Lonchura striata: one gene and its partners. The protein of the gene in region 4 interacts with the protein of the main gene of each other region in a biochemical or structural test. Links are inferred from orthologs where the notes say so. Each region holds a gene or a part of one and is shown on either strand. Other genes may lie near its edges.

Evidence for each region.
Region 1: of the proteins of LRRK2 (region 4) and EIF4EBP1, one has a biochemical effect on the other in vitro, tested with the Homo sapiens proteins (3 studies listed by BioGRID). The link is inferred for Lonchura striata from reciprocal best matches to the Homo sapiens genes LRRK2 and EIF4EBP1.
Region 2: the proteins of LRRK2 (region 4) and YWHAZ interact on a protein array, tested with the Homo sapiens proteins (3 studies listed by BioGRID and IntAct, with this or other methods). The link is inferred for Lonchura striata from reciprocal best matches to the Homo sapiens genes LRRK2 and YWHAZ.
Region 3: of the proteins of LRRK2 (region 4) and MAP2K7, one has a biochemical effect on the other in vitro, tested with the Homo sapiens proteins (2 studies listed by BioGRID). The link is inferred for Lonchura striata from reciprocal best matches to the Homo sapiens genes LRRK2 and MAP2K7.

What each region holds. Positions count from the first base shown.
Region 1 is NC_134634.1:4,354,139-4,361,148, reverse strand, and holds the start of EIF4EBP1 (eukaryotic translation initiation factor 4E-binding protein 1), read right to left. Parts: upstream 3,008-7,010; 5' UTR 2,917-3,007; coding exon 2,769-2,916; intron 1-2,768. UniProt on the Homo sapiens protein: Repressor of translation initiation that regulates EIF4E activity by preventing its assembly into the eIF4F complex: hypophosphorylated form competes with EIF4G1/EIF4G3 and strongly binds to EIF4E, leading to repress translation.
Region 2 is NC_134603.1:21,496,064-21,503,820, forward strand, and holds the start of YWHAZ (14-3-3 protein zeta/delta), read left to right. Parts: upstream 1-4,757; 5' UTR 4,758-4,865; intron 4,866-7,013; 5' UTR 7,014-7,023; coding exon 7,024-7,317; intron 7,318-7,757.
Region 3 is NC_134623.1:2,354,769-2,362,029, forward strand, and holds the start of MAP2K7 (dual specificity mitogen-activated protein kinase kinase 7), read left to right. Parts: upstream 1-4,250; 5' UTR 4,251-4,308; coding exon 4,309-4,432; intron 4,433-7,261. Other genes in the region: uncharacterized protein LOC144247275, read left to right, coding at 12-104, 1,027-1,137, 1,398-1,894, 2,703-2,745. UniProt on the Homo sapiens protein: Dual specificity protein kinase which acts as an essential component of the MAP kinase signal transduction pathway. Essential component of the stress-activated protein kinase/c-Jun N-terminal kinase (SAP/JNK) signaling pathway.
Region 4 is NC_134607.1:58,874,543-58,882,273, forward strand, and holds the start of LRRK2 (leucine-rich repeat serine/threonine-protein kinase 2), read left to right. Parts: upstream 1-4,716; 5' UTR 4,717-4,791; coding exon 4,792-4,951; intron 4,952-5,064; coding exon 5,065-5,150; intron 5,151-5,165; exon of another isoform or gene 5,166-7,731. UniProt on the Homo sapiens protein: Serine/threonine-protein kinase which phosphorylates a broad range of proteins involved in multiple processes such as neuronal plasticity, innate immunity, autophagy, and vesicle trafficking.

The DNA of each region.
Region 1 (7,010 bases), on a different chromosome or scaffold from region 4:
ACTGTGAGGCAGCACTTCAGCCTGGGTTACCCTTCCAGAATTCCAGGTGCGCTGACACTGTACCTGCCACTAAAGGTGACACATTGGTACCCAAACTCTGCCAGCTGCTGCCCCAAGGCAGCACAGGGCTCCAAACCCCAGGCAGGGGCTGCAAGCAGCAGATCCAGCCCCTTCCACCTCGCTCAAGGTCACACCAGCCCACAGAGCAAACAGAAAACTGAATTTAATTCCCACTGATGGCTGAAAGCTGCAGGTGGACACACACCAGGGGACAGGACGGGGCAGAGCCGTGTCCCTCTGAGCTCTGCCCAGCGGGAATTCCTGCACAGACACTTCCCTTGGCACAGCAGCACTTACACATACCTTGCTCAGGGCTTACACAGATGGTTAATGTTCCAAGGCTTAACCAGGAACCACCCAGCTCCAGCCAACCACGCTGAGCCTCCAGGCATGGATTTCTAGGAACACCACTGAACACCCTGTTCCTTATAAAGGAATTTCATGGAAACAGCTCAAAAACCACAGGCAGAAAAGGGATCCCTCCAAACAGCCCACAGCCTTAACCCAGCAAGTGCTGGAAAAGAGTGTTTGCTTCACAGGAGGAGGCTGCACACCCCTCTGGATCAGGTGTGCCCTGCTCTGCTCCCGTTCCAGCCAGAGGGAAAGGGACTTGTCCTTGTGCCCTCCCCAAAAGCATTAACTAAAGTACACACGTGTGGGCAAACAGCTCCTGCCACCATCTGTCCCGGAGCAACCAACTCCCTGTGGTTTGAACACTGTAAATATACAATAAATACATAAAACAACACGTCCAACAGCTGAGTTCTGCCAAGGAGTTCTCAAAACACCAAAAAGCTTTTAACTGATGATTCTGAGCTCCAGTTTTCGGGAGGACGATCCATCCCTACAGTCAGCTGCCTGGGAGAGGGGTGTTAAAATTCCTGGGAAGCTCCAGGAGGAGGACAGGGATTCCTAGAACTGCAGCTCTGTACCAGAACTGGGAGCTTCCACCTTTCTCCAACAGCCTCACGCCCAGAGCTCCTGAAAGCCAGGGGCCAACTGGAGCAGGACACTCGGGGCAGGACACTCAGCTGGGGCAGGACACTCAGCTGGGGCAGGACACCCAGCTGGGGCAGGACACTCGGGGCAGGACACTCGGGGCAGGACACTCAGCTGGGGCAGGACACCCGGCTGGGGCAGGACACCCGGCTGGGGCAGGACACTCGGGGCAGGACACTCGGGGCAGGACACTCAGCTGGGGCAGGACACCCGGCTGGGGCAGGACACCCGGCTGGGGCAGGACACCCGGCTGGGGCAGGACACCCGGCCTGGGCTGTCACACTCCTGCACCCACCCAGAGCCGCGTTCCCCGCAGCTCCCCGGTGCTGCCAGGGGGTGTTAGCAGGAAAACACACACAGCACGGGATGCTCTGCTCCCTGCAAGCCCCTCAGGGCACACACACAGCCCCGGCTGTCTGTCCTCCAGCAGCTCTGGAGCCTCCCTCCCGTCAGCACCGCAGCAGGGCCGAGCAGCACACGGTGTCCCCAGCACGGGACACGGCGGCCCCGGGCAGGCGGGGACGGCCCCGGGCGCTGCCAGGTGGGCACACCCCGGTCACAAACGCGGCCCAGCTTCTCCTCCTGCTCCAGGCACTCAGGAACTCCGCGGGGACAAAGCGCTGACAGCCCCGGAGGGCTCATTACTGCGCACCACTAATTGCTCATTTCATTTCTGCCGCGCCAGTCGCTCGTTATTTCATTTCTGCCGCCTGACCCGGGGCTGGGGAAGGCTCCCACACCTCGGCACGACTCCTGCAGGTGCTGCTGGAGCCTTGAGCGATTCGCTGCTCCCAAGGAGGGAAGGCAGGGCCAGGACAGCCCCAAAGCTCGGCTCTCCTGCACACACAGCCCGGTGAGTCAGCAGTGCCGCTTCCTTCTCCCCGCGTTCAACCCCTGGAGTCCTGCGGGGGATCGGACAACCAACACCCCCTCCCTGCCCTCCCACGGTTCGTCCTTTTGGCTTCAGCCTTCCTGCTGCTCGCATCCAGCCGGGCAGGGATGCAGCGATCTGCAGCGGCACCGCGGGGAGATTCTACAAGGTGTGGAAAGAAAATCATCCCCAAATCGCCCCAAGCCGCGGCTCAGGGGCAGCAGAGGCCGCTGGAACTCCCCGCGCTGACCCTGTGCCATCACCTGGAACTTCTCTGGGGCCAAACTGCCAAAAATGAACAGCCAAGGAGTGCTGGGGACACAAAACCTGTCTGACAGAGGAACGCTGGGCACAACCAGTTTATTTCTCTTAGTCGAGGATCAAATCCCTACAGGAGGCTCCTCTCCTGGCGGCTCTGGGGCTGCAGCAGACGGAGAGGGAAGGAGCCCACGGCGAGCTGCAGCAGCAGAGCCCCGCGCCTCCAGAAACCGGAGCGGTTTGCGATTGGAAATAAAGAAAAAGGTCCCAGGGATTACTGCCAGGGAAAACAGCAAATATCAGCGCTCAGAATTAATCAGTAACCATGGAGAGGCCGGGGCTGCTCCCTGCCAGGCTCCCCAGCACGCACCCCCGCACCCCCGGGCAGGCGCTGTCCGGCTGCCCCGGTCCCCCGAACTCCACCGAGCCCCGGCACCGGCCGGGGGCTCCCGGCGCTTGTCCCGGGACAGAACGGGAGCGCTCCCCCGGCCCTGCAAACCCTCGCTCAAAGCGAGCCGTCCCTCCCGCGGTGAGACCTCCCCGCTCCCCCCGGCACGGCCCCCGCCGGCCCGGCGCTCACCGCCCGGCGTGGTCCCGAACACGGTGCCCCCCGGCGTGGTGCTGTAGTCGCCGGGCGGCAGCGGGGCCTCGTCGGGCAGGGCGAGGCACTTGCCGGGGCCCGGGATGTCACGACTGGGCGTCTGCCCGTGGCAGCAGCGGCCCGACATGACAGGAGCGATGACGGGAGCGGCACCGGGAGCGGCACCGGGAGCGGCACCGGCGCTGCCGCCGCCCGCCCGCCGCTTCCGGCCAGGGCCACGCCCCTTCCGCCGCGGGGCGTGGCCGGGAAGGGGCGGGGCTTAGCAACAGGGAGGCGTGGCTATGCTAATACAGTTGGACTTTAGGGGGCGGGGCTTAGCGACAGGGGCGGGATATGCTAATACAGATGGGCTCTTCGGGGCGGAGCTTAGTGACAGGGAGGCGGGGCTATGCTAATATAGCGTGTTCTTTGGGATGGGGCTTTAGCGACAGGGGCGGGGCTATGCTAATACAGATGGGCCCTTCGGGGCGGGGCTTAGTGACAGGAGGCGGGGCTTAGCGCTACATGGGCGGGACTCCTGGCGGGTCCCCTTTTCTCCCTTTTTCTCAATTTTTCTCCCCTTTTCTCCCTTTTTCTCAATTTTTCTTCCCTTTTCTCCATTTTTCTCAATTTTTCTCCCTTTTTCTCCCCTTTTCTCCATTTTTCTCCCTTTTTCTCCCTTTTTCACCCCTTTTCTTCCCTTTTTTGGCCCTGGACACCCCTGGCCTGTGCTCCCCGCTTTTGGGGTCGCGCTGCCCCGTGCTTGGCGGGGACCCCGCGGAGCCCCCGGGGGTGTTGGCGGCGCTGCCCCTTCGTGGCCGCCGCTGCCCACGCGGGGTGGCCGCTCTGGGAGGTCCGGGTGCTCCCGTGGCAACGCCGCGGGGACAGATGTCCGCCCGGCTGCCCCCATCCCAAATGGCTTTGCCTCCCCCGAGGGCCGGGAACAAATGCGGGAGGAGCCGGGGGGCCACACACGGGTCCGGCGCCCCCCACGCTGTGTCCCCGAGGGTGCTCCGGTGGGGCTGGAGCTATGGGAAATAGGGTTTGTCTTAATACTTCATTACAGAGGAGATCTAAAGAGCAGCCGAAGTGCGCTGGGAGGGGCGCAGGGTCGGCCGGGCGGGACCCCTGGGCTTGGCATGGGGGGGGCTGCGGAACCCAGGGATGAAACCTGGCGTGAAGCCCCTCCGAGCATCCCTGGGACCACCCTGCTCACGGGTACCCTCCAGAAAAAGCCCTTCATCGTTCCCTGCTCCCCCGGCCGTGGCCACAGGCTCTGCTGACCCTCACCAGACACCGGTGCGGTGCTGACATCTGCTGACGGCCGGGCTGCCGGGAGCCGGGATGCCGGGATGCCGGGATGCCGGGATGCCGGAATGCCGGAATGCTGGTAGACGGGAGCCGGGAGCCGGGATGCCGGGATGCCGGGATGCCGGGATGCCGGGATGCCGGGATGCCGGGATGCCGGGATGCCGGTAGACGGGAGCCGGGATGCTGGGATGCCGGGATGCCGGGACCCCGGGATGCCGGGATGCCGGGATGCCGGGATGCCGGGATGCCGGGATGCCGGGATGCCGGGATGCCGGGATGCCGGTAGACGGGAGCCGGGATGCTGGGATGCCGGGATACCGGGAGACGAGAGACGGGAGACGGGATGCCGGGATGCCGGGATGCCGGGATGCCGGGATGCCGGGAGACGAGAGACGGGAGACGGGATGCCGGGATGCTGGGAGCCGGGATGCCGGGATGCCGGGAGATGAGAGACGGGATGCCGGGATGCCGGGATACCGGGGTGCCGGGATGCCGGGAGCCGGGATGTTTTCCAGCGCGGATGCCGGCGCAGCCGCCGGCAGATGCCAGCAGCGTTTCGGCAGCGCTGAGCCCGTGTCGCAGCACCACGGGGTCACCGAGGCTGTGGCAGGGATTGTCCCGGACCGGGGCGTGAGGCTGCTCCTCTGGTGGGACACAGCAACCCCGGCCTGCCCAAACCATGGCCCCGGCTCCAACAGATGGAGCCCGGCAGCCACGCACGGCTCCGGACCCCAGCCCGGGGCCAGGCTCATCCCGCGGAGCCGCGGTCCCGCCCCGGGGCCCTGGGGGCTCCCGGGGGTCGCTGAGCGTTTTCTGCGGGGCAGCAGCGTCCTGCCAGGCTGGCCATGGACACGGGTGTTTCTGCCCCCGAGGTCCTGTGGGACCCCAGCCAGGCTGTGGTGCCCCCAGGCACCCCCAGGGGCCCAGGCAGGCTGTGGTGCCAAGCAGGCAGCCCTCGCCCTGTGCCAGCTGCTGAATCGATTAGTGGGCACTGGGGCAGGAAAATAACATTTCCGGCATGGAATGACATCAGCAGTGACCCCCAACCCAGAGAGGCGGCCGCTGCCATTTCCTCCTCCTCCTCCTGCTGGAGAACAGTTATGGGGTCAGGGACGGGGGAAGGTCGGGGCTTAGGGCACATCCTGGCTGGGGCAGAGCAGGGTGTCACCCTCCCGGTGCCTGCTGGAGTTCGGTGCTCCCGGCAGCACACAGGGGACAGGGACAGGGACAGGGACAGGGACAGGGACAGGGACAGGGACAGGGACAGGGACAGGGATCCTCCTGCCCTGGACAGGAGCTCCAGCTGCCCGGGAGCTGTCTGCAGGCAGAGAAGAGGCTTTGGGTACTCTCCCACCCACACCACAGCACCCTCCGGTTGCAGAGTGCTCCTCTCCAGGGCATTTTATCTGCCCATTCCACGGGCAGCTCCCAGGGCTGGAAAGCCCTTTGTCATCCTCATGTGATATGAAGTTATCGCATTATTGCCTTCTAAATCGGGAGCAGAAGTGCTCTCCGAGGTGTCTGTCCCTCCACCAGCACTGCCTTTGCTTCTGACCTGGTTTGGATCGCTGGGAGCTGAGCAGGGCTGGCTTTTGGGGAAGAATTCACTCCACTGCAGGTCCTGGGGAAGAAAATGTGTTTCATAAGTCACGAAATGTCCCTGTCCCTGGTGTGAGAGCAGCCCTGGGGGATGGCAGCAGGGGCAGGGGCCATCGCTGGCCCCACTTGCGCCCCACTGGTGCCCACTGGACTGTGATTACAGGAAGGTTTGCTGAGACAGGAAGCAAACAACCCGAGGGAAGGATAAACTCCTGCCTGGCGGGCTGGCAGCTTTCATCTCGCCCCATCCATCACCTCCTGTCTGGGTGTCTCCCGCGCGGGAAGGCTCATCCCCAGCCCCCTCTGCAGCCCACCCCCCTTGGGGGCCTGGGGACCCCACTGCAGCCCCGTGAGGGCGGGGATGGTGACGGACCCCACGGCAGTGAGGATGTCCCTGTGCCGCGGCATTTCCACCCCATCCTCTGTGTTTACATTCCCTCCGATGGCGGCTGGCGATAAGGACAGACCCGGACGAAGCCACATCCCTGCTGCCCGCCCGAGGCTGCTCGTGCAGATAAAGGCTGCCCCATAAACAAGCCCATCCTGCCTTTGGGAAGGGCATCTCCGCTGGCCCCAGCCCTCGGCAGGAAACCCTGTCTGGGACGTCCCCGGCGCTGCTGGGGGTGCTCAGCACCCCAAAACGCAGCCCTGGGTCCTGGAAACAGCCTCAGTGGCACGGGATTCACCCTGGTACCCATGGCCAGAGCCAGAGGAGCAGTGTTTGGCTCTTCCTCCTCCTCCTCCTCCTCCTCCTCGTTGCTGCCTGCAGACATCGGGCTGGAGGCAGACACAGCCTGTGCCGGCTGCAGGAGGGGACATGGGGGCTGGGGCAGGGATGGGTGCTGCTGGGCACAGCTTGGGCAGAGGGTGCCCGGGCATGCAGGGGGCAGAGGAGGGGCAGGGGGAGATCCGGGTGGCACGAGGCAGCTTGGCCGCTGTCCTGTGGTGTGGCTGGGCTGGCAGGCGGCTCCATGTGGCGCTGCTGGCACTCGCTCCCTCATCCCTGTCAGCTTCCCCCCCGCGGGGCTGGACCCTCTCCCTCCCACCCTGCTCTGGGGCACAGCTGGGAGTGCCACATGGAAGCGCCTCTCTCCCTCGGAATGCCCTGCCTGAAAGCTCTCTCTGAGGCTATTTCTGTTGTTGTTTTTTCTCGATACTTCCCACACTTTTTGTGAAATCTAGATCCGTGTTATTGCAAACTTCTCCCTCCTTCCCCCACCCCAGTTTGCTTTAGCAACAGCTGAAGGAAAACCAGAAACAACGGGAAAGGAGCTGTGAAAACATCTGTAAAGTCTTGGCAGCCCTGACGGCAGCAGGAGGACTCCCCCGGCA
Region 2 (7,757 bases), on a different chromosome or scaffold from region 4:
GCCTTGTGAGATCCAGCAGCTCCAACTACTTTCCACTCAATGATGGAAAATACTAGCCTTATCCACAATTCATGTTTTATCATTGGCACCAGACAGAGAGTCAGAATCTGACTCATTTTAGAACACTGGGGATGGGGGAGGGAACAAAAAAGAAAAGAATACTCTAAATGCATGCATCCTTCACTTAAGTCTTTCAGGATGGTCAACCTACAAGAGTGTCCCGAGGAAGAAGAGTATCCATTGATCCAAAAGCACAATCAGACTACAAAGAAGGTGAACAAAAGCTTCTGCAAAGCTTGAAGTTTGGCTTGCAAATCACAGGCAGTGGCCAAGGAAAGATAAGTACAATATATACCTAAAAATGTCAATAAATGTTTTTATTCCAGAAAGTAAAGGATCTTCCTTCTGCCAAATGGGAGAAAGAAATTCAAAACTCTACAGAAGCACATAAAGGCTGCATAAAAATACACACAGATGTATATAATCATGTAGCCAGAGAATCAGCCCAGAAAGGTATGTAACAAAATCACAACAGTCAGGATTTTAAGCAAGCAGCTTTTGAAAATGTAGCTCTTAACAGTAGAACACACAACAGAGCTGCCAGCTCTTCTTTTCTTCCCTCTGCAGGCCGTAAATTTGCAGAATCATCTCCTGGTCTCTGGGGAAATGCCCTTTGCTAGGCTGCCTTTGCTCATTTTTCTGTTCCCAGGAAAAAAAAAAAAGCAAAAAAAACCCCAAAAAAACCCAAAACCAACACAAACACCAACCAACAGTAACTCAGGACATCTCTATATTCTAGCAGCAGCCTGGTTAGTACCAAGAGTCACCACCACGGAGCCTTCCAGTCCTGACAGCATTCACCGACTTCTAAGAGCTATTCTTACGGATTTCCTGGGTTATTGCTCTTGCTCCTGTCTATGTGAGGTTGACCCCCAAAAATCATGACATACTCTTCTAGCATGGGGATAACCCAATCTTGTACTCATCTATTTTTAATTAATTATGTTTAAGCACAAGAAAGAATAACTAAGCACTTGTGGAGAAAGGATGAGAGGGAAGAACTAAAAGCTGGTTTAGAGGGGAAATAAAATATATCTGGAGTAATTTTTTCCCCTCCCCATCCCTCCATTTCTTCTTCTCATGTAAGAAAGTAAAGTAAGAATGAGTGTAAATAAACACGCATATAGGTACTTTCATATGCAAATGTTTCTAACTCTACAAATGAGTTTTTGCTGCTGGCTGCCGCCTGACAGTCTGAGATAGTGAAAGTGCAAGTCATCGAACAAAAAGCTGTGAGGAGAGCAACAGAGAAAAAGCATCTGAAGAAGAGGAAAGCTGCTTAAAGCCTTGGTATTTAAGAGACCGAGTTCCCTGGTCAAAACTGCAATATGCAAGACAAAATACAACATTCTACAGTGGGGGAAAAGTGCAGGAAATGTAAGAATAAAAGACAGCAGGCGAGTATCTGCTTAAGAGACAGCATATGCAAAGGTGAGTAACATCTAAATCCTTGGATCTGCTCCAAATGGCAGCGTTCATGAAATCCAGAGGAGTGGAAATGGTGTTTGGCAAAAATAGCCCACTTAAAGGGGAAAGAGTGCAGCGTCTATTGACGCACGGGGCTGCTAGCAAACACAAACTATGGTTAGTGGCAATTCGGGTTGTTGCAGGACATGTTCCGTTCCCTCCAAAACCAAAAGTAATGGAAAGGACAGAATGGAAAGGCTGATGTTTTCCTTCCACAAAACTATTAACGTTGCCTACAGTATTGCAGCCTACTTCACACAGGATTCCCCTATATTTCCCGGAAATATCAAAATGCAATACACATTTGTGCTTCATTCTAATGCAGGCTCCAGTCTGCAGGGTTCTTTATGCACTTTTAAGGATTATCATTTTTCTTGCATCAGTTAATTTTTTTTATCATGTTACCAGAAAATATTCAAGTACCTCTGAAAATGTATGCTCTATATTTGGGTGGTTGCCATTTCAATGAGACTTTTCTACAAAATAAGGGTTTTTAGCTTATGTTAAAAATGAACTCTGTAACATAACTTGAAACAAGATGCAGCAAATGCTGTGCCACCATACCATCTGTGTTCAAGTACAGCTCTAAAGCTCTCCTCCTATTGCTTCCTAAAGTGGAAAATAATGGTAAAAAATAAAAACATATAAAATGAAGCCTCGTGTATTGGAATAAATTATGAACCTGAGCCTTACAATGTTTGTTCCAAAAATCTCCCTCTGTACCTGTATAGGCCAATGAAGTATCATTTGGAAACCAAAGAGTAGGGTTATATTCTTCACATTTAAATTAAGTAACAGTGATGTTCTCACCTGACACAGCTAGTAAATTCTGGTGAGCTTCACTCTGCACATTATTGCCTCTTTTGCTTTTTTTAGCTCTTTTCACAAGCTTTCCAACAATATCCCATAGGAACTTGAGTGAAATTCATTAAACATTGGAGTTAATTGAAGGAACCAGAAATTATGAGAAATATATTTTTTAAAAATATCTTACTGTTAATGTGGAAGATGACAGAGGTTGATGGGCAAAACTTATATGGAGTACAAACCCCAACATACATCTTAGGCCATGAGGAAGGGTAGTAAGAAATCAGAAACAAACTCTGCAGGTAAAACGCCACCATGGAAAAACTAACTGCTCTTTATATGATATAATGAAAAAAAAAAGCCTAGTTCTTAAAAAGTCAACTTTGACAGGAGGATTTTAAAGCAGGACCTTTCTGATATTCAGTCAAAATACAGGATCACTGTTTTGAAGATGAAAGGGACGGCGTTCTCATCACTTTATCTCACTCACAGGTCCACAGTCACTTTGTCACTGCAGGGTGCAAGACCACACTGGGAAGCTGTCCTGAACTGCCTGGAAAAGAGAGAGAGGCGTGCAGGCAAGAGCAGGAGGCATCTGCGGGAGAACCTGAAGATGCTGTTATCTCTGGTACCGAACCAACCTGCTCCCGGCCACTCTAGAACAACAAATACATCCATAACTTCTTCTTGCTTTCCAGAAGGAAGCGCCTCACTCCTCCTACGCTACTCCCTCGCTGTGTCCCACCGACAGACTTTTATGGCTGTAGACATAAGTACAGGCCCGTCCTGCGCCGGGCTGCTCCCGCGGGAGCCGTTCGGGGATGAGCCGAGCGAGCCCCGCCGGAGCCGCGCCCGGGGCCGCCGCCGCCCGGGGCCGCCGCCGCCCGGGGCCGCCGCCGCCCGGGGCCGCCGCCGCCCGGGGCCGCCGCCGCCCGCTCCCGCCGCCCGGGGCCGCCGCCGCCCGGGGCCGCCGCCGCCCGGGGCCGCCGCCGCCCGCTCCCGCCGCCCGCTCCCGCCGCCCGCTCCCGCCGCCCGCTCCCGCCGCCCGCTCCCGCCGCCCGCTCCCGCCGCCCGCTCCCGCCGCCCGCTCCCGCCGCCCGCTCCCGCCGCACGGCCGGGACGCGGCCCGGGCACGTGACCGGAGCCGACTTTCCGTGCGGTTTGCGCCGAACGGGAACGGGGCGGAGAGCTCCCGGGTCTGCCGCGGGCACGGCAGCCTGCAGCAAGCCCCGGGGAGGGAATCCCGCTCTGGAGATGCTCCTGGCCCATGGCACTGCCAGATACAACACCTGGCCCTTTTCAAAAAATATTTCGACGTGCTTTCTCCATCTTATTACTCTCCATTTCATTTCTAATCCTGTGAGACAGTGCTGATCCCAGAGCCCAGGAGAAAGCAGGAGAGGTCAGGACACTGCATACTTGAGACAAAGATTCAAGCTGGGGGATGTTGTTCAGAAAGGGGACAAGGGAATGCCGACTTCCAAGACCTTTAGGAAACAGGGTGGGATTTTTTTTTTTCCAGAAAATGAAAAAGCATTTCCAACAACAGCAATATTTATTAATACTCTTCCTACTCCTGTCAGCACGTTCTCATCAACGTTTGGATGGTGCTGTCCGAAATGCCCGCTTGCCTTTCCAAGGGAAGGGGCTTCCAGAGGGACCGTCCTGCGCCTGCAGAGCCGCTGAGCGCCCATCCGCCAGCCCCGGGGGGATCTCCCAGGGCGCTGCCGCCGTCCCCGGCCTCCCATCCTCCTCTGGCCCTCTCGTTTTTAACGCCCAGCACGAGTCGCGCTCCCGGTGCAGGATGAGGCTCCGGGCGCGGCTCGATGCGGAGCGCTCCCGCGGCCGCGCGTGTGCCGGGACAGTCCCGCTCCCCCCCAGCGCCCCGGGGCTCAGCCACCCGCCACGCACGGGGCTCGGCGGGGGTTACGGGGCGGACTGGGCGCTCGGGGCGGCACAAAGCCTGGAGAGCCCGCCCGGGGTGCGCGGGGGGCGGCGGTGACATCCGCGCACGGCCCGCGGCCGCACGAGGAGACGGTGCTGCCGCCCCCGCTCCGTGCCGCGGGCGCGGGCACCGCTCCGCCGCCCCCGGGCGGGTGCGGAGCCCTCCCCGCCGGGCCGGGGCGGGCGCCGCGGCGGGGGCGGGACGTGGGGGCGGGCCGCGGCCCCGAACCCGCGGCGCCCCCGGGACCCGCGGGCCGCCCCGCTCGGCTCGGCGGTGGGGCGGGGGTGCAGGCGCGCGCCCGCGGGCGGGGCCGCCGCCGGCTCTGGGCGTGACCGCGGGCGGGGGAGCGGGGGGGGGAAGGTTCGCGCGCGCCCTCGCGCTCCGTTGCCATGGCGCCGCTTGACGTCACGGGCGGCGCGCGGCCCGCGCGGAGCGGAGCGGTGATTGGCGGAGACGCCCCGTGCGCGGCGCCGGGAGAGGGAGGGAGGGAGCGAGGCTGCAGCGCCGCGAGCGCCAGAACCGCACAGTCCGCGCCGGCCGCCCGCCCGCACCGACGCACCCGCGCCCGCCCGCCCGCCGCGCACAGGTAACGGGGCCGCCGCCCGGCACCGGCTCCCCGGCACGCCGCAGGTCGGGAGCACTGAGCGGGGCGGCCGGGGGACAGCGCCCAGCCCGCCCCGCTCCCCCCACCCCCGGCGCGGCTCCACGGGGAGGGAGCGGGGCGCGGGGGCCGCTGCGCGGGGCGGCGGGGGCCCTTCTCCGCCGGGGAAAACGGGGAAAGCACCGGCGGAGGGGGCGGCAGGTGAGGGCGACCCCGCGCCCGCAGGGAGGGGAGCGCCGCCCCTGCCGGGCGGGGGCCGGGGCGCGGGCGGCGGCGCTGCCGGGTGTGGTCTCCCGCCGGGAGCCCTGCCCGGGCGCGGAAGAGTCGCCGCGGCCGCGCTCCCTTCCCTCCCTCCGCCCAGGCCCCCCCCTCGCCCATCCTCCCCGCCCCGGCCGAGGGGTCCGGGCGAGAGCGGCGGCTCCCCCGGGACTAGAGGGGGCTCCTCCTCCGCCGCTCCCCCTCCCCCGCGCCGAATCCCCCAGGGATGGACCCGCGGGCTTTCCCTATTCCGGGGCGGGGACGCAGCATCCTCCCCCGGGGGCGCTGGGCGGAGGGGAGCGGGATCGGGGCGGGCCGGGCTCCGGCGCCCACCCGCCGTGACAAAGGCGGCGGGCGCGGCGCTCGGTGTCCCCGCGGCGGGCGCGGCGAGGAGGGCGGGAGGGAGGGAGGGAGGGGCGGCCGCAGCGCCCCGGGGCCGCCCGCCCGCCCCGCCCTCCGCTCCGCCCGCCCCCGGGCCGCTCCATTTTCTGCTGTCACCGCGCTCCCCGTGCCGGAGCCGCGGCAGCGCCCAGCCCGCGGGGGCGGCGGCGGCCCGCCCGGGGATGCTGCCGCGGCAGCCTGCGGTGCCCCGGGGACCGGCGGCGGGGCCGGCGTTGTGACCGCGTTTGCCCCGGTCAAGCCGAGTGGTAGATAACCACCACCAAAAGCTCGCTTTAAAATGGCTCCTTAACCCCGCCGCGCGCGGTTGGGCAAGTTCTCCAACGGGCGTTTGCACACAAACGAGTTTGTGCCTCCCCGTTGGGGACAGGAGCCGTTAAAATTTGCAGTCACCTGGAATGTTAAAATGTGCTTAGTTTATTCCCAAAGATGGAACACAAGCCATGCCATTGTTTCTCCTAACGTCACATAAAATGGCAAAAGTCTTAGTGGTTAAAAATGAAAATGCTTGGTTGGGGTGTCTGGAACGTACAGAAATAGATAAAGCACTCATGACCAAAACTGGTTCATGCTTTAATAATCTTGTTAAACTTCGAAGGATAATGTATCCCCTAAGCACATTCCTCCAAATGATCAAGTTAGGGTACACAGAAAGATGGGGGGTGAGGCAGAAGTATTTTTGCTTCCTGTGCCAAAAGAAATTTCTCAATACCTCTGTGCTGATAAGACAGGTTCTGAAGTTTTTCTGCTAGGTTGTGCTGTCTGAAATACTGATGTTGAGGTCATATTTTTAAGTAGTAAAATTTTCTTTTGTCTGTGAAAGCACAGCCTCCCAGGCAGAGCAGCAATATCTGATACAGAACATCCCATAATGGGGATTCCCATTTTGGGAAAGGGAGTTAGCATTGTGGGAAGGTGTACAACTCACAATTTAGATATTTGTTGCACTATGACTTTTTAACATCCAGTGTGGGATTTGATTTGCAGGTGTTTATGTGAAGTACCTCTGCATGTAACTGATTCTGTTAAGGTTCAGAATGCTGCTTGATATTCTTTGTCCAGCCTTTATTTGGTTGTCTCCTGTGGAAAGCTTACTATTGGATATTTTCTTTGTCAGTTTTGCTACACTGATAATGTAGCCTTATGAAAAAGTGGTGGCAAAGAATTAGGATCGTTTTTGTGCATAAGATAGAAATTATTTGGTTTCAGTTCACCTTTGGATGCTTTTGTTTGTGTTTATTAAAATAACATACTTAAAAGTTTACAGTTTTCAGGAGGAAGCAGTGGTTTTAACTCTCTACTCCATGTGTCCATGTGTTTGAGCAGCCAGTGCTGCTAGTATGCCTTGTGTGCTGGATTTCAGTTGTGTCTCTTCCAGTTCCAAATTAGAGAATACACGGTGCTCTGCCTTTGAAGTTTAAACACCTTTGTCCTTGACCAATGTCTGAATAATGCCTCGCTATTTTTCCTCTTCAGAAATATCAACATGGATAAAAATGAGCTGGTGCAGAAGGCCAAACTGGCTGAGCAGGCTGAAAGATATGATGACATGGCAAGTTGCATGAAATCTGTGACTGAGCAAGGAGCTGAGTTGTCCAACGAAGAGAGGAATCTTCTCTCTGTTGCCTATAAAAATGTTGTAGGAGCCCGTAGGTCATCTTGGAGAGTCGTCTCAAGTATTGAACAAAAGACGGAAGGCGCTGAGAAAAAACAGCAGATGGCTCGCGAATACAGAGAGAAAATTGAGACTGAGCTAAGAGACATCTGCAATGATGTGCTGGTGAGAAATAATGAAACTGTTGATCCATTTTTACTTAGAGTTGCAAAGTAAATGGTGCTGGGCCCTCTGGGACTGTTTTTAGTCTGTCAGTAAACCTGTGGTCTCCTATGCTATTTCTGTTTAAAAAAATGTCTGAATTTTTCTTTCCCTCTAATATGCTGATTATTTATATACAAATTATAGTTATGAATGCTAATAAACTTGGAGGCATGTAGAAACATTGTACATAAAGTAGTAGTTAAGAAAGCTTAACGTGTTTCCCTGAGACTGAACTATATGCAGGTTTAGTTTGGGGGTTTCTCCTACCCCAGTGCCCCTTCTGCCTTAAAGCAGCATATGTATCCTAGATGTCTTTGGTTTCTGCAATTTTAATGTGCTGCTGTGGTTGTAAGAGGTAGTTCTTACTCTACGGAAATTGTGCCCCTCCCTGGGTAAGATGA
Region 3 (7,261 bases), on a different chromosome or scaffold from region 4:
TGTCCCCGCAGTGTCCCCGGCGCTGGCGGGGGCTGAGCCCTCGGTGCCGCTGTCCCCAGGCCGGCCGGGCCCCAGGCCGCCGAGGGGGCCCCGTTCAGCTGCACGTGAGTCAGGGGCCAGTGTCCCCTGTCCCTTTGTGGCACCCAGCGTCCCCTGGTGTCCCTCTGTGTCCCTTTGTGGCACCCAGCGTCCCCTCATGTCCCTGTGAGTCACCTGTGTCCCACCCAGCGTCCCTCTGTGTCTCTCTGTGTCACCCATGTCCCAGCCAGTGACCATCGTGTCCCCCCACGTGTCCCCATGACCATTGTGTCCATGTCCCCTGGATGTCCCCTGTCCCTGTGAACATGTCCCTGTGTCACCTCCTTGTTGCTGTGACAACCTGTCCCTACAGTGTCCCCATGCCAGTGACCGGGTCCTGGTGTCCCCCTGGCCCTCCTGGTGTCCCAGTGACCGTGTCCCCACGGTGTCTCCATTGTGGTGACTGTGTCTGTGTGTCCCTACACTGTCCCCGTGTCCCCGCAGTGTCCCCATTGTGGTGACCGTGTCCGTGTGTCCCCACACTGTCCCCATGTCCCAGTGACCGTGTCCCCACGGTGTCCCTGTGATGGTGTCCCCGCAGTGTCCCCATTGTGGTGACTGTGTCTGTTTGTCCCCACACTGTCCCCGTGTCCCCACGGTGTCTCCATTGTGGTGACCGTGTCCGTGTGTCCCCACACTGTCCCCATGTCCCAGTGACCGTGTCCCCACGGTGTCCCCATTGTGGTGACCGTGTCTGTGTGTCCCTACACTGTCCCCGTGTCCCAGTGACCGTGTCCCCACGGTGTCCCCATTGTGGTGACCGTGTCTGTGTGTCCCTACACTGTCCCCGTGTCCCAGTGACCGTGTCCCCACGGTGTCCCCATGTCCCAGTGATGGTGTCCCCGCAGTGTCCCCATTGTGGTGACCGTGTCCGTGTGTCCCCACACTGTCCCCGTGTCCCAGTGATGGTGTCCCCGCGTGTCCCCGTGACGCTGTCCCTGTCCCCAGGGCCGGGCGCAAGGACAAGGCGTGGACCCGGTGGAGTGGTCAGTGCGGGACGTGGTCGAGTACTTCACCGAGGCCGGCTTCCCCGAGCAGGCCGGGGCCTTCCAGGAGCAGGTGGGGCCACCCTGTCCCCTCTGTCCCCTGCTGTCCCCTGTCCCTGTGGCTGTCCCTCCCTGTCCCCTGTCCCTGTGGCTGTCCCCGGTGTCCCTCGCTGTCCCCAGGAGATCGACGGCAAGTCGCTGCTGCCGATGCAGAGGGCCGATGTGCTCACGGGGCTCTCTGTCCCTGCATCCCCCCGGGTGTCCCCTGTCCCTGTGGCTGTCCCCGGTGTCCCTCGCTGTCCCCAATGTCCCTCGCTGTCCCCGTGTCCCCAGGAGATCGACGGCAAGTCGCTGCTGCTGATGCAGAGGGCCGATGTGCTCACGGGGCTCTCCATCCGCCTGGGCCCCGCGCTCAAGATCTACGAGTACCACGTGAAGCTGCTGCAGCGCAGCCACTTCCAGGACGAGGAGCCCCCCCCCGGAGCCCTTCCCGGCCTGAGAGACCCCCCCAGAGCCGCGGGGACACCCCCAGACCCACGGGGACACCCCAAACCCGTGGGGACACCTCGGTATCTGGGAGGGCTCCTCCCTCCCCCCGCTGCTGCACACAGAGACTTTGGGGGTGGGCGGGGGTCATGGGGTTCCCACCTCACTTTGGGGGTCCCACCTCTCTTTGGGGGAGTCCCATCCCTATTTTGGGGGGGGTCTTGCCTCTCTTTAGGGTCCCACCTCTCATTTGAGGGGTCCCGCCTTGCTTTTGAGGGGGGTCTCATCTCTCTTTTGGGGGAGAATCCCATCTTTCTTTTGGGGGTCCCACCCCTCTTTGAGAGGTCTCTCTTTTGGGGGGGCACTGCTCTAGGGGGACACCCCTCTTTGGAGGCCCTGCCTCTCTTTTGGGGGGGGTCTCACCCTGTTTTTGGGGGCGCTTCTCTTTGGGGGGGTCATTTCTCCGGGGGATCCCACCCCCTCTTTTGGGGGGACTTCTCCTTGGGGACCCTTCTTTTGGGGGGGCACTTCTCTTTAGAGGGGTCCTCCCCTCTCTTTTGGGGGGATCCCACACCCTGAGGGGGTCACCCCTCTTCTGGGGGGTATCATCCCTCTTTTGGGGGGTCACCCCTCCTCGTGGGGGGGGTCGCCCCTCTTGTGGGGTGCCTTCTCTCTGGGGCGCATTGGGGGTGGGACACCCCGCTCCTTCTGGGGTCACTCTCTTTTGGGGGGGCCCCTCTTGGGGTGGGGTCACCCCTCCTTGAGGGAGCCCCCTTTTTAGGGGATCCCCCTTTTCTTGGGGGGGATTTTTACCACGGGGGGAGGGGGTTGGGGGGGCTCTGCCCGGAGATGTTTTAACCTTCCCCAGCCCGTGCCCCCCCACCCAAATTAGGGTGCGGCCCCCCATCCCTTGGCCACGAGGAGGGGGAAGCCCCCCTAACCGTCCCCCCCCCCCCCGCAGTCTGTGCCCCCCCTTTCCCCGGGCCTGGCTCGTTTTGGGTTTTTTTAAATAAAAACGAAAAAATTAAAGAAATATTAAAATCTCGGGGTTTTGGTGGGGTCCTCCCGTCTCAGAGTCCCCCAGAAGGGGCTGGGGTGGAATGGGGGGGGCAAGGGGGCTGCTGCGCATGCGCGGGTCCTCCCGCCCGGCAGGGGGCGCCAGGCCCGCGCCTTCCGCTCCGCGCATGCGCTGTAGAGAACCATCATCTGCGCATGCCTCCTCCTGCTGGAGACCGGCGCCAATCGCGGCCCTACGGCGGCCGGCCGGGCCCAAAAGCCGCGCCCCTTAAAGCAGCTTCAAAAACAGCCTCCGACCCCCCAAACTACCCCAGAACAGCCTCAGCACTCCCAAACTACCCCAGAACAGCCTCAGCACCCCTAAACTGTCCTCAAACTACCCCAGAACAGCCTCAGCACCCCTAAAATGTCCTCAAACATCCCCAAACTGCCCCAGAACAGCCTCAGCACCCCCAAACTACCCCAGAACAGCCTCAGCACCCCTAAACTGTCCTCAAACTACCCCAGAACAGCCTCAGCACCCCCAAACTACCCAGAACAGCCTCAGCACCCTTAAAATGTCCTCAAACTGCCCCAGAACAGCCTCAAGAGCCCCCCAAACTACCCCAGAACAGCCTCAGCACCCCTAAAATGTCCTCAAACTGCCCCAGAACAGCCTCAGCACCCCAAACTACCCCAGAACAGCCTCAGCACCCCTAAATGTCCTCAAACATCCCCCAACTGCCCCAGAACAGCCTCAGCACCCCCAAACTACCCCAGAACAGCCTCAGCACTCCCAAACTACCCCAGAACAGCCTCAGCACCCCTAAAATGTCCTCAAACATCCCCAAACTACCCCAGAACAGCCTCAGCACCCCCAAACTACCCCAGAACAGCCTCAGCACCCCAAAACTGCCCCAAACATCCCCAGAACAGCCTCAGCACTCCCAAACTACCCCAGAACAGCCTCAGCACCCCTAAAATGTCCTCAAACATCCCCAAACTGCCCCAGAACAGCCTCAGCACCCCCAAACTGCCCCAAACATCCCCAGAACAGCCTCAGGCTTCCCTAAAGAATCAATAACTGCCCCCAAACCAGCGTAAAGTGCCCGAGGAAGGGCCTCAAACTCCGCTAAAGCCACAAATGCCCCAACGCTCCCGATGCGCTTCGAGCCGCTGTGGAGCATCCTCTGCACCCCCCCCCGCCAGTGCTCTCCCGGGCCCCAGGAGCCCTAAAGAGCCCCCGCTGCCCCCACAGGGCCCGATGAGATCGATCCCCCCCTCCATGGCTCCCTACGGCGGCCGGACAGGCCCAAAAGCCGCTCCCTTCCTTCTTCCCCGCCCTACGGCGGCCGGCGGGGCCGAATAAACGCCGCGTCCCTCTTCCCTACGGCGGCCCAAAGGCCACCTGTTCTGCGCATGCGCAGTAGCCTTTCCTGGTGAAGATGGCGGCGTCCCGTATTCCCCCTTTCCGTACGGCGGCCAGGGGGCCAAAAAGCCGCCGTGCCCTCTCCACCCTCTCATCCCGCCTTCCTACAGCGGCCAAAGGAACCCAAACCCCCCTTGTCCGCCCCTCAGCTCTCCCCAATCCACAGCAGCGGCTGAGGCGCTTAACCGCCCCTGTCACCCCGCGCATGCGCAGTGGTGGAACCGGGGCGAAGATGGCGGCGCCCTCTGCTCCCTCCCTCCGTACGGCGGCCGGCGGGGGCTCCAAGCCCCGCCCCGCGCGGGCCCCGCGCATGCGCCACGCGGGGGGGGGAAGATGGCGGCGTCCTCGCTGGAGCAGAAGCTGTCGCGGCTGGAGGCGAAGCTGAAGCAGGAGAACCGCGAGGCGCGGCGGAGAATCGACCTCAACCTCGACATCGGCCCCGCCCGCGCCCGCCCCAGTGAGCGGGGCCGGGGGGCGGTGGGAACGGCCCGGGGAGCGGGGCGGGGCGGCCGAGGGGAGGCCGCGCTGGGGGGGGGGGAGGGAAGAGGGGCCGGGAGGGGAGAGCGGGGCTGGGGGAGAGCGGGGCTGGGGGAGAGAGCGGGACAGGGAGGGGAGAGCGGGGCTGGGGGAGAGCGGGGCTGGGGGAGAGCGGGGCCGGGGGGAGAGCGGGGCCGGGGGAGAGAGCGGGACCGGGGGGGAGAGCGGGGCTGGGGAGAGCGGGGCCGTGAGGGGAGAGCGGGGCAGGGGGAGAGAGCGGGGCTGGGAGGGAAGAGGGGCCGTGAGGGGAGAGCGGGGCTGGGGAGAGCGGGGCTGGGGAGAGCGGGGCGGGGGAGAGAGCGGGACCGGGGGGGAGAGCGGGGCTGGGGAGAGCGGGGCCGTGAGGGGAGAGCGGGGCAGGGGGAGAGCGGGGCTGGGAGGGAAGAGGGGCCGTGAGGGGAGAGCGGGGCTGGGGAGAGCGGGGCTGGGGGAGAGCGGGCTGTGGGAGAGAGCGGGGCTGGGGGAGAGCGGGGCTGGGGGAGAGCGGGGCTGTGGGAGAGAGCGGGGCTGGGGGAGAGCGGGGCTGGGAGAGAGCGGGGCTGGGGGAGAGCGGGGCTGGGGAAGAGAGCGGGGCCGGGGGAGAGCGGGGCTGGGAGGGGAGAGAGCGGGGCTGGGAGGGGAGAGCGGGGCTGGGGGAGAGCGGGGCTGGGGGAGAGCGGGGCTGGGAGGGGAGAGCGGGGCTGGGGGAGAGCGGGGCCGGGGAGAGAGCGGGGCCGGGGGGGAGAGAGGGGCTGGGGGAGAGCGGGGCTGGGGAGAGAGCGGGGGCCGGGGGAGAGAGGGGCTGGGGGAGAGCGGGGCTGGGGGAGAGCGGGGCTGGGAGGGGAGAGCGGGGCTGGGGGAGAGCGGGGCTGGGAGGGGAGAGCGGGGCTGGGAGGGGAGAGCGGGGCTGGGGGGAGAGCGGGGCTGGGGGGAGAGCGGGGCTGGAGGGGAGAGCGGGGCTGGGGGGGGGAGAGCGGGGCTGGGAGGGGAGAGCGGGGCCGGGGGGAGAGACGGGGCCGGGGAGAGAGCGGGGCCGGGGGGAGAGAGCGGGGCCGGGGGAGAGAGCGGGGCTGGGAGGGGAGAGAGGGGCTGGGAGAGAGCGGGGCTGGGGAGAGCGGGGCCGGGGGAGAGAGCGGGGCCGGGGGAGAGCGGGGCCGGGGGAGAGCGGGGCCGGGGGAGAGAGCGGGGCCCCCGGGGGGAGAGCGGGGCCGGGGAGAGAGCGGGGCTGGGAGGGAGAGAGCGGGGCTGGGAGGGGAGAGAGGGGCTGGGAGAGAGCGGGGCCGGGGGAGAGAGCGGGGCCGGGGGAGAGCGGGGCTGGGGGAGAGCGGGGCCGGGGGAGAGAGCGGGGCCGGGGAGAGCGGGGCCGGGGGAGAGAGCGGGGCTGGGAGGGGAGAGAGCGGGGCTGGGAGGGGAGAGAGGGGCTGGGAGAGAGCGGGGCCGGGGGAGAGAGCGGGGCTGGGGGAGAGAGCGGGGCTGGGAGGGGAGAGCGGGGCTGGGGGAGAGAGCGGGGCCGGGGGAGAGCGGGGCCGGGGGAGAGCGGGGCCGGGGGAGAGAGCGGGGCCGGGGGAGAGAGCGGGGCCGGGGGAGAGCGGGGCCGGGGGAGAGCGGGGCTGGGAGGAGCATTTTGGGGTGGTTGGGGCGGGTTTGGGGTGTTCGGGGCAGTTTTGAGGTGGTTGGGGCAGCTTTGGAGAGTTCGGGGCAGTTTTGGGGTGGTTGGGAACGTTTGGGGACATTTTGGGGTGGTTTGGGGCAGTTTTGGGGTGGTTTGGGGCAGTTTTGCGGTGGTTGGGAACGTTTAGGGACATTTTGGGGTGTTTGGGGCAGGTTTGGGGTGATTGGGGCAGTTTAGGAACATTTTGGGGTGTTTGGGGTGTTTGGGCAGCTTTGGGGTGTTTGGGACCGTTTAGGGACATTTTGGGATGTTCGGGACAGGTTTGGGGTGGTCGGGACAGTTTAGGGACATTTTGGGGTATTTGGGACACTTGAGGGGCACTTTTGGGTTGTTTGGAGCAGGTTTGGGCTATTTGAGGCCCTTCAGGGACATTTTGGGGTATTCGGGGTCCTTTAGGGACAGTTTAGGACAGTATTTGGGACAGGTTTGGGTTGTTCAGGGCCATTTTGGGGTGTTTGGGGCAGGTTTCGGGTGGTTGGGGCAGGTTTGGGGTGGTTGGGGCAGCTTAGGGACACTTTTGGGTTGTTTGGGGCAGTTTTGGGGTGGTTGGGGCAGGTTTGGGGTGGTTGGAGCAGCTTAGGGCCATATTGGGTTGTTCGGGGCCATTTTGGGGTGTTCGGGGCAGGTTTGGAGTATTTGGGGCAATTTAGGGACATTTTGGGGAATTTGGGGCAGGTTTGGGGTATTTGGGGCAGCTTAGGGACACTTTTGGGTTGTTTGGGGCAGTTTTGGGGTGGTTGGGGGCCTTTAGGAACATTTTAGGACAGTATTTGGGACAGGTTCGGGGAGTTTGGGGAGTTCAGGGCCATTTTGGGTTGTTTGGGGCCATTTTGGGGTGTTCGGGGCAGGTTTGGGGTATTTGGGACAGTTTAGGGCCATTTTGGGGTGTTTGGGGCATTTTAGGGACATTTTGGGCTGTTCAGGTTTGTTTGGGGTTTTTGTGGGGGCGGCGTTCGAGGATGTTCAGGAAGATTTGGGGCAGTTTGAGGGGTTTGGGAGGATCTGGGGACATTTTGGGGTTGGCTTGGGGTATTTGGGGCAGTTTAGGGACATTTTGGGGCAGTTTAGGGACATTTTTGGGCTCTTAGGGACATTTTG
Region 4 (7,731 bases):
CCTTTCAAGGAAGAAATTTTTCTTAGCTTAGATGGTAAACCTCCCCTCACACAACTTGAGGACATTTCCTCTTGTTCTATCACTTGCTACTTGGGAGAAGACACTGATCCCCACCTGGCTACAGCCTCCTTTCAGGAAATTGTAGAGACCAATAAGGTCTCTCCTGAACCCCCTTTTCTCCAGGCTAAACATGCCCAGCTCCCTCAGCTGCTCCTCCTAAGACTTGTGCTCCAGACCCTCCACCAGCTTCACTGCCTTCTGGACTTGCTCCAGCACCTCAGTGTCTTTCTTGCAGTGAAAAGCCCCAAACTGAATACTGAATTTGAGGTGCAGCCTCACCAGGGCTGAGTACAGGGCAATCACTGCCCTGGTCCTGCTGGCCACAATATTTCTGATCCAGGCCAGGATGTCATTTGCCTTCTTGGCCACACATTGGCTCACGTTCAGCTGCTGTTGACCAGCACACCCAGGTCCTTTTCCACTGGTTAGATCTCCAAACACTCTGCCCTAGCCTTCAGCATTCCATTGTTGAGAGGTTGTTGGGACCAAGGTGCAGGACTCAGCACTTGACCTTGTGGAACCTCACACAATTATTCTTGGTCCATCAATCCCATCCAATGTCCTCTGCACAGCCTTCCCACCCTCCAGCAGATCAACACTTCCACTTTGGTGCCAACTTGTCACAGAGTGACAGGAACCACTTGATCCCCTTGTGATCCCCTTGTCAACATCATTGATAAATGTATTAGACAGGGCTGGTCCAAATACTGACCCTTGGAGAGCATCACTTGTGACCAGCCACCACCTGGATGTATCACCATTCACCACCACTCTCTGGGCCCAGCCATCAGCCAGTCCCCTACCAGCAGAGAGACTGCCTGTCTGAGCCCATCCATTTGGAAGCTGTGAACATGATTCACCTTCTCATACAGAGAGCAGTGAACAAGTATGGGCCTATGCACAGTACTAAATATTTTTAAAATTGAAGTCCCTGATAGCTAAAATGAGAGCTGAAGAGGTTGAGGTAGAATACCTGCTCTGCCACTGTTTTCTGAAGCAATGAATTCATTAACACCACAGAGCCCCTGCTGGTTATGACATAAAAGCAGATGGACCATTTATCAGCATTTTGTCCAGAGGTCAATCAAATAACTGTCATATCACTTCTGAACAGGCTCTGTCTGAGCACTTTCTGTCATTCAAATTAACAGAATCCCCTCTCCAGCTGCAGGGTTAAAACACACAGAATGGGGATGTAACAATGGAAAGAATATTTATTCAGAGTATTATGCCTTCAGTGATAAATATGCATGGGCTCTTCAAAGCAGATTTAAAAAAAAAAAAAAGGTGGTTATAAAATCTTGTGTAATTAAATTTTCATTCTCCTCTGTGGTGGAAGCATGATGAGACAAAACTGAATGTGGAAAAATGGATCTGACTGACACTGCTCTTGGTCAGAAATAGCTTGCAAAGGAGAGTCCCCAGGCAATACCTAACACAGCTTCAGCAGGCTCACCAGGTGGTGTAAAGCACTGCAAATAAAATAATGGCAGAGCAAGAAGGGGGTGGGGGAGGAACCAACAAAAGACAACAAAAAAGCCTCAGAAAACAAAACCAAACAAAAAGCATTCAGAACCTCCCCCACAAAAACCCAAACTCATTCACACATACATTCCCCCCCCCCCCCGACAAAACCAAGCAGAAAGAAAATTCAAAGAGAGTTCAGCCACTCAAAAGCCCAAATGAAATAGCAAGGATACAGGGAAAAGAACTGTTCCAGAAAAACACCTTCCTTCCCAGCAATGCAGAAACAACTTACGGTCTTTTCTTGCACACAGCCTCCCTCTCCTGTCAAAAAGATGAAGTTTCAGTTCTGAAACATACACTGCAACATACAATCCTTTTACAACTGACCAAGAATCATTCTCTGCATCCTAATATCTCACCCTATAAGCAGCATAGAACATTTAAATCAGTGTCAACACCAAAGCTAGGAAGGGTGAAGAAATGAGGGACCTGCCACACAGCTGATGGCAAAAGCCAATCAGAGATGGTTAATATCAAGGACGGACTGAATTCAAACACGTAGCAGAAAATGTGATTCCAAACATGAAAATGCGTGTAGCCAAAAGAGGGAAATGGACCCAAGACAAGAAAATTCTTTTTAGAAGAGACATTAGAGATGACTAAGAACAGAAGGCAAAAATGGCCCCTTTACAACCCAAATCAACCTGGAGGTCCAACCTGTATTTCATTTCAAAAACAAATCTTAGGAATGGGATGAGCCTTAGGACCAGACATGGGCCATAACTTGGACAAAATAAATTCTTGAGGGTCTTCTGGTGTGTTTTCTAGCAGCTTGCCTGTTCCTTTGAAGCCTTATTCCAAAAGAAGCTCCTATTCCAATCAACTTCTACATGGAGCTAAAACAAAATATAGTTACAGTAGACTCAAATCTAACATCTTGGTCACTCAGAAAGTTTCTCTAAGGTCAATGCATCCTCCATTCATACATAACATTACACTGATTTCAAGAAAATATAACAATATGCATTATACATTGGATGATGAGGCCAAGGAAATTGCTATGTCAAATCAGAAGACTGTATGTTGTGGAATTACAGCCTGCGGCCAAAACAGAAATGGAGTCCCTGTCCTTGGAGATGTTTAAAATAAAAATACTTGATGTGACACTTAGTGCCATGGTCTAGCTGACTAGGCGGTATTAGTCATAGGTTGGACTCAATGAACCCAAATGTCTTCTCCAACCCAGTTAATTCTGTGACTCTGTACAGTCTTTTCAAACTATGTGCATAACACAACACGCTACAGCTTACAGAGGACAGAAGACATGGAATAAACACATTGAGACCCAACAGAAAAAGAACAAATTGTTTAAATTACTTAAAGATCTGGGGCCCTTTGTTATGGTCTTCATGGTAAATCATCCACACCCACTGATGAAACTGAAAGAGGTCAGAATATATGAAACTTTTAGAGCAGAAAAATATTTAAGAGGTTTTCCAGAGGTAAAGTCCTTTGCCCTTTATTCATACTCTGATAATAATGACATTCAGACACTTTACTATCAGACCTCAATTTTCCTGCCAGACCTCAACACAAGACAGCTCAGTCACAACCTCTAATCACTTCTACAGATCATACAATAGTTTGGGTTGGAAGGGGACTTTGAAGACCATTTCGTTCCAACCTTCCTTCTGTGGGCCAGGATATTTTCCACCAGACCAGGTTGCTCAGAGCCCCATCCAACCTGGCCTTGAGCATCCCCAGGGATGGGGCATCCACAGCTTCCCCAGGCAGCCTGTTAGAGTGCTTCACCACCTCCACAGTAAAGACTTTTCCCCTAGTACTCAACCTAAACTTACTGGTTTTGAAGTTGAACCCATTTTTCCCATTCATTCTGGTGAAGATACATTAATATAGCTTCATCAGATTTTCCTAGAAAAATCCAGGAAAACTACAATATAGATGCTTACCAAGACTACCACATTCTTTACATTCTCCTCTTGTCTAACTAATTAATATGCTTCAGAAGACTTTTGTCAAACTCTACCAGACTTTCAGAGACTTAGCAAAAGCTGGCATCCTCTCCAACCAGCACTCCAGGGAACTGCTACCTGCAGAGGAATGAACCTTGGTAGACATGTTAGAAGATCAGTGTTTGAGACACCTGATCTAGTTGCTGTATTTATTCAGGAACCTCAGAAACACTACCAGAGTTTTTTATTCTTTGCCAATATAAGTGGAAAGAAGAGGAAACATTAACTCAGGCTCAAGTTGTCTAGCTCCAGAATCTATAACTGCAACAAATTATTTACTGAAAGAGCTACAAGGGATCCAGGACTTCAAGGCAGCCGTGAGCTGGAACAAGCAGAGAGACTTAAACTACACAACAGTTACTATCAAGGTGCACAGAAGATACACACTGAAAATTTCAGACAGCTGGTTTCAGGCAAGAGTATGTGGTGGGAGCCAAAAAGAACTGTGGTTGAGTTGACCCCATCTGGACACCAGCTTCTCAGCAAAGCCATGAACTCACCTCCTTATCTAGAGAGGGAGAAAAAACATTGCAAAAAGCTCATGGGTCAAGATAAGGACAGGAAGAGATCACTCACAATCACCATTACAGGCAAAACAGACTCAACTGGGGGAAATTAGTTTATTGCCAAACAAATTAGAGTAAGGCAATTAGAGATGGAAATGAAATCTTAAAACACCTTCACCTCACCCCTCCCTTCTTCCAAGGCTCAACTCCACACCCTTCCACAGGGTGCAGCCTTTCAGGAACAGATTACCTCAGTGTAGGTATCCCACAGGCTCACAGATCCCCACCCCGCAAACCCCACACGACCCAGAAACCAAAACCACCCGTGACACACTACCCTTGGCCAGCTTTTATACCGAGGCCCTGCCGGGCGGACCCGGGTCCAGCTCGGCAGCTCTATTGGGCAGCTCTTTCGTCAATCACCGTGAGGGGGCTGCCCGCGGCTCCGTTCTGCTCGCCGGGCGCTTGCGCGAGGCCCGCGGGCGTTTCCCGGGGGTACCGGGCCCGCGGGGGCCGGGCCTTGGCCGTGTCCGTGGAGCAGCGCCGTGGGAGGGGCCGCAGGCCGCGGCAGGGAGGGCCGGGTGACGGCGGCCGGGCGGCGGCACTGCGGGGCTGCAGCAGCGGGACGGGCCCGCGCCGCCCAGCCCGGCCCGGCCCGGCCCGGCCCGGCCCTGCGCTCGTCCCGCCGACCGGCGGATGGGCACAGAGAGGGCAGCGGCTCGGCCATGGCCAGCGGCGGCCCCGAGGAGGAGGAGGCGGTAGCGGGGGAGGAACAAGCCCTGAGGAAGCTGGTCGTCCGGCTCCAAAACGTCCAGGAGAGGAAGCGGCTGGAGACGCTGGTGCAGACCCTGAGCGACCTGCTCGAGCTGGCGGCCCGGCAGAGCGGTGAGCGCCCTGCCCTGCCCTGCCCTGCCGTGCCGTGCCGTGCCGTGCCGTGCCGTGCCCCGTCCCGCCCGCCGCCGGTCGCTAACGCGGTCTCTGTCTCTGTCCCCCCACAGCTCCCCGGCTCTTCAGCGGCAAAAACGTCCACGTGCCCCTGCTGCTGGTGCTGGATCTGTACCCGGGAGCGGCGGGCGTGCAGCAGGTCAGGGCCGGGCGGGCCGGGGCCGCTGCCCCGCTCCGGCTGCGCTCCCGGGATGAGCGGGCGCGCAGCCCTTCCCGGATAAAAGCTCTTGTTCCGCTTGTTGATTTCTCCTTAACTTGCCCTGTGTCTCCTGGGCCGCTTCATGGAGTGCTCCGAGCTGTAGAAGGGCGCTGTCACCACTGGCATTTAAAGGGGACAAGCGTTCTAACTTACTGCAGACGCCACTGGCTGCGTCTCTGTTTTTACCGGCAGAAGGAGGCGGAATAGAAAATAAATATTAAGCCACGTGAATGCTGTGTAATGTAGGGTTCTAAATTACCAATAATGTTATCTAATATAATTTTGATGTGTCCATGTTGAATTTTGCCATGGTTTGACAAACTTCCAAAATGCACGATTTTATACTATGAATTCATATATATGTAGCTATATCCTTGGGACTTGTGGTAGCATAGTTTTTTAAAGTCAGGGGGAATATTTTAGCTAAGAGTAAGTTCTGCAATTTAAGGTTCTGCCTACCTTCTCCTGTAATTTAACATTGGCCCATTTGGACTAGGTGTGGTACTTCCACAATTTGATGTTGTACTTATGGTACAGTTGCCAGACTTGTCATACAAAACAGCTCCTTCCTGGCAGGCATATATTAAATATCTGACTATACTATGCATAGAGGATGTTTATAAGCTCCAGATTTCTGTCCAACTCACTTGCTTCTTTTTTTTTAATTATTAAGCAGTAGGAATATGAAGCAGCAGTTATTTTCAAGATAAAGCTCATTAGTTTATAAAATCTCTGCCCAGAAGTCTGAACTTGGAAATAAAACATCAATCATAACAAGAAGTAGGTGTGAAATGACAGCACAAGTCTCTCAGAATTGCATAAGGAAGATAGTGATTAACTTCAATTTTAACTCTCTTAAAATACTTCATTCTAATGCAGAATTTTAAAATTAATTTTAATATTCTATCTGCCTACATTTGCAGTCATACAGTGTTTCAGTTTAGAAGTTCTGGACCTCCTTTGCATTACTATGTTGTGTTGCAGTGGGAAATTCATAGCCAGTGCAAAGCTCAAATCCCATTCCTCATATAGTGTCTTGTACACCTCTCCTTTCACATTCAGTTCTGGTGTTTACAAACATTCACACTATGTAAGTAGAGATCTGTCTTATTGCTTCATTCACTGCTATTTGTTTGCAAACTTTGTGAATAAATTCTCACTTTACAGTGCTGGCAAAGTAATGAGGTCCTGATTTCAGTGCAGTCTCTTGGCACTTTTAATTTTTTTTAATTGACTTAAAAGTTAATCACCCTCCTTTTTACTTTTGGCATTATAAAAAAAATTACATAAGAGAATAAACACAGTCAGAGACATACCTGAAGTGAGAATTTTCTTCACCTCCCCTCCTTAACTGGTTAAAAGTATTGTGGGTTGCTGCTGTTCCACTAACTTGTGCAGAGTTAATTTGCCTAGTAGATCAATATAGCAGGTTCTGGCCCAAGTCAGACTGCAGGCATAAACCCTGCAAGCTCCTTCAGAAATATGAAGGTACTGGTGTAGAAAGCCAGTAGTTCCTGTATATATATGTTTATGAATATAATTTATTTATATTTCTATTTATTATAATATTTAAGTAAATAAGGTAGTTTTCTGCCATTTCTCTGGCAATGATTGGAGCAGCTTAGAAACTCTAGAGCAAAATAAGAGTGCACTTGAGTAAAGAGCAGTCAATAGAGCTTTATTGTCTGACATAGATGGTGGGATCTAATGTAATATAAATTGTGTACTAGAACAAAAAGGGTCAGATTTTAAAATAATGAGTTTCATTGCTGCTACCAACTGTTCTGTATATAGGGACCTGTTTAAATCTTTATAAGGACTTTTTTTTTTTTTTCCTTATTTCCCTTCCTTGTAACCTTTAGGATTTCTGGTTTTTAAAAGACCCTTGCTTTCTTACTTGAACTTCAAACAGCTAATAAGCTCTCTGTTACCTCAGGTTGTGATTTGAATATTGTAAGCTAGATAGAACACATATCAGCAGATCGAATGTTTCCATTGGTCTTCTCTGGATCCACAGTTCTGATAAATGTTTGTCAATACTTGGAGTCCTAACAATCCAAATAAAAATGTTCAATGGGAATATCAAATTCATCAGAAACAGTTAATACAGAAAGGAATTTTCTTAAGTAATTAACAAGTTTTCATCAGATATTAAATTTTATAAGAACAGTTAGGATGCTCTTATAAAGTGGGACTTCTAAAATAAAATGTTTTCTAAGGAATAAGCAGTTTATCAGTTGATAGTCACCTCTGCAATGTTTTTGAAATTTGTACCTAATTGACTGTCACCAATAAACTCTATTTTGCTTGGAATATGGAAAATTAGGGAATTATATATCCTCATCTTGAACTGATAGTTCCTAAAACTATTTATTGTACTTACATTTAGTTAGGACTCGGTTACATGGACCACCCTGAATGTCCATAGTCAGTGATTTGTAGTCTCATGCAGGGCAAGGCAGCTTGCTATCCAAGGAAAATAAGTGTATGGAAATTGGCTCATAGTCAAGCTCAATCTGCA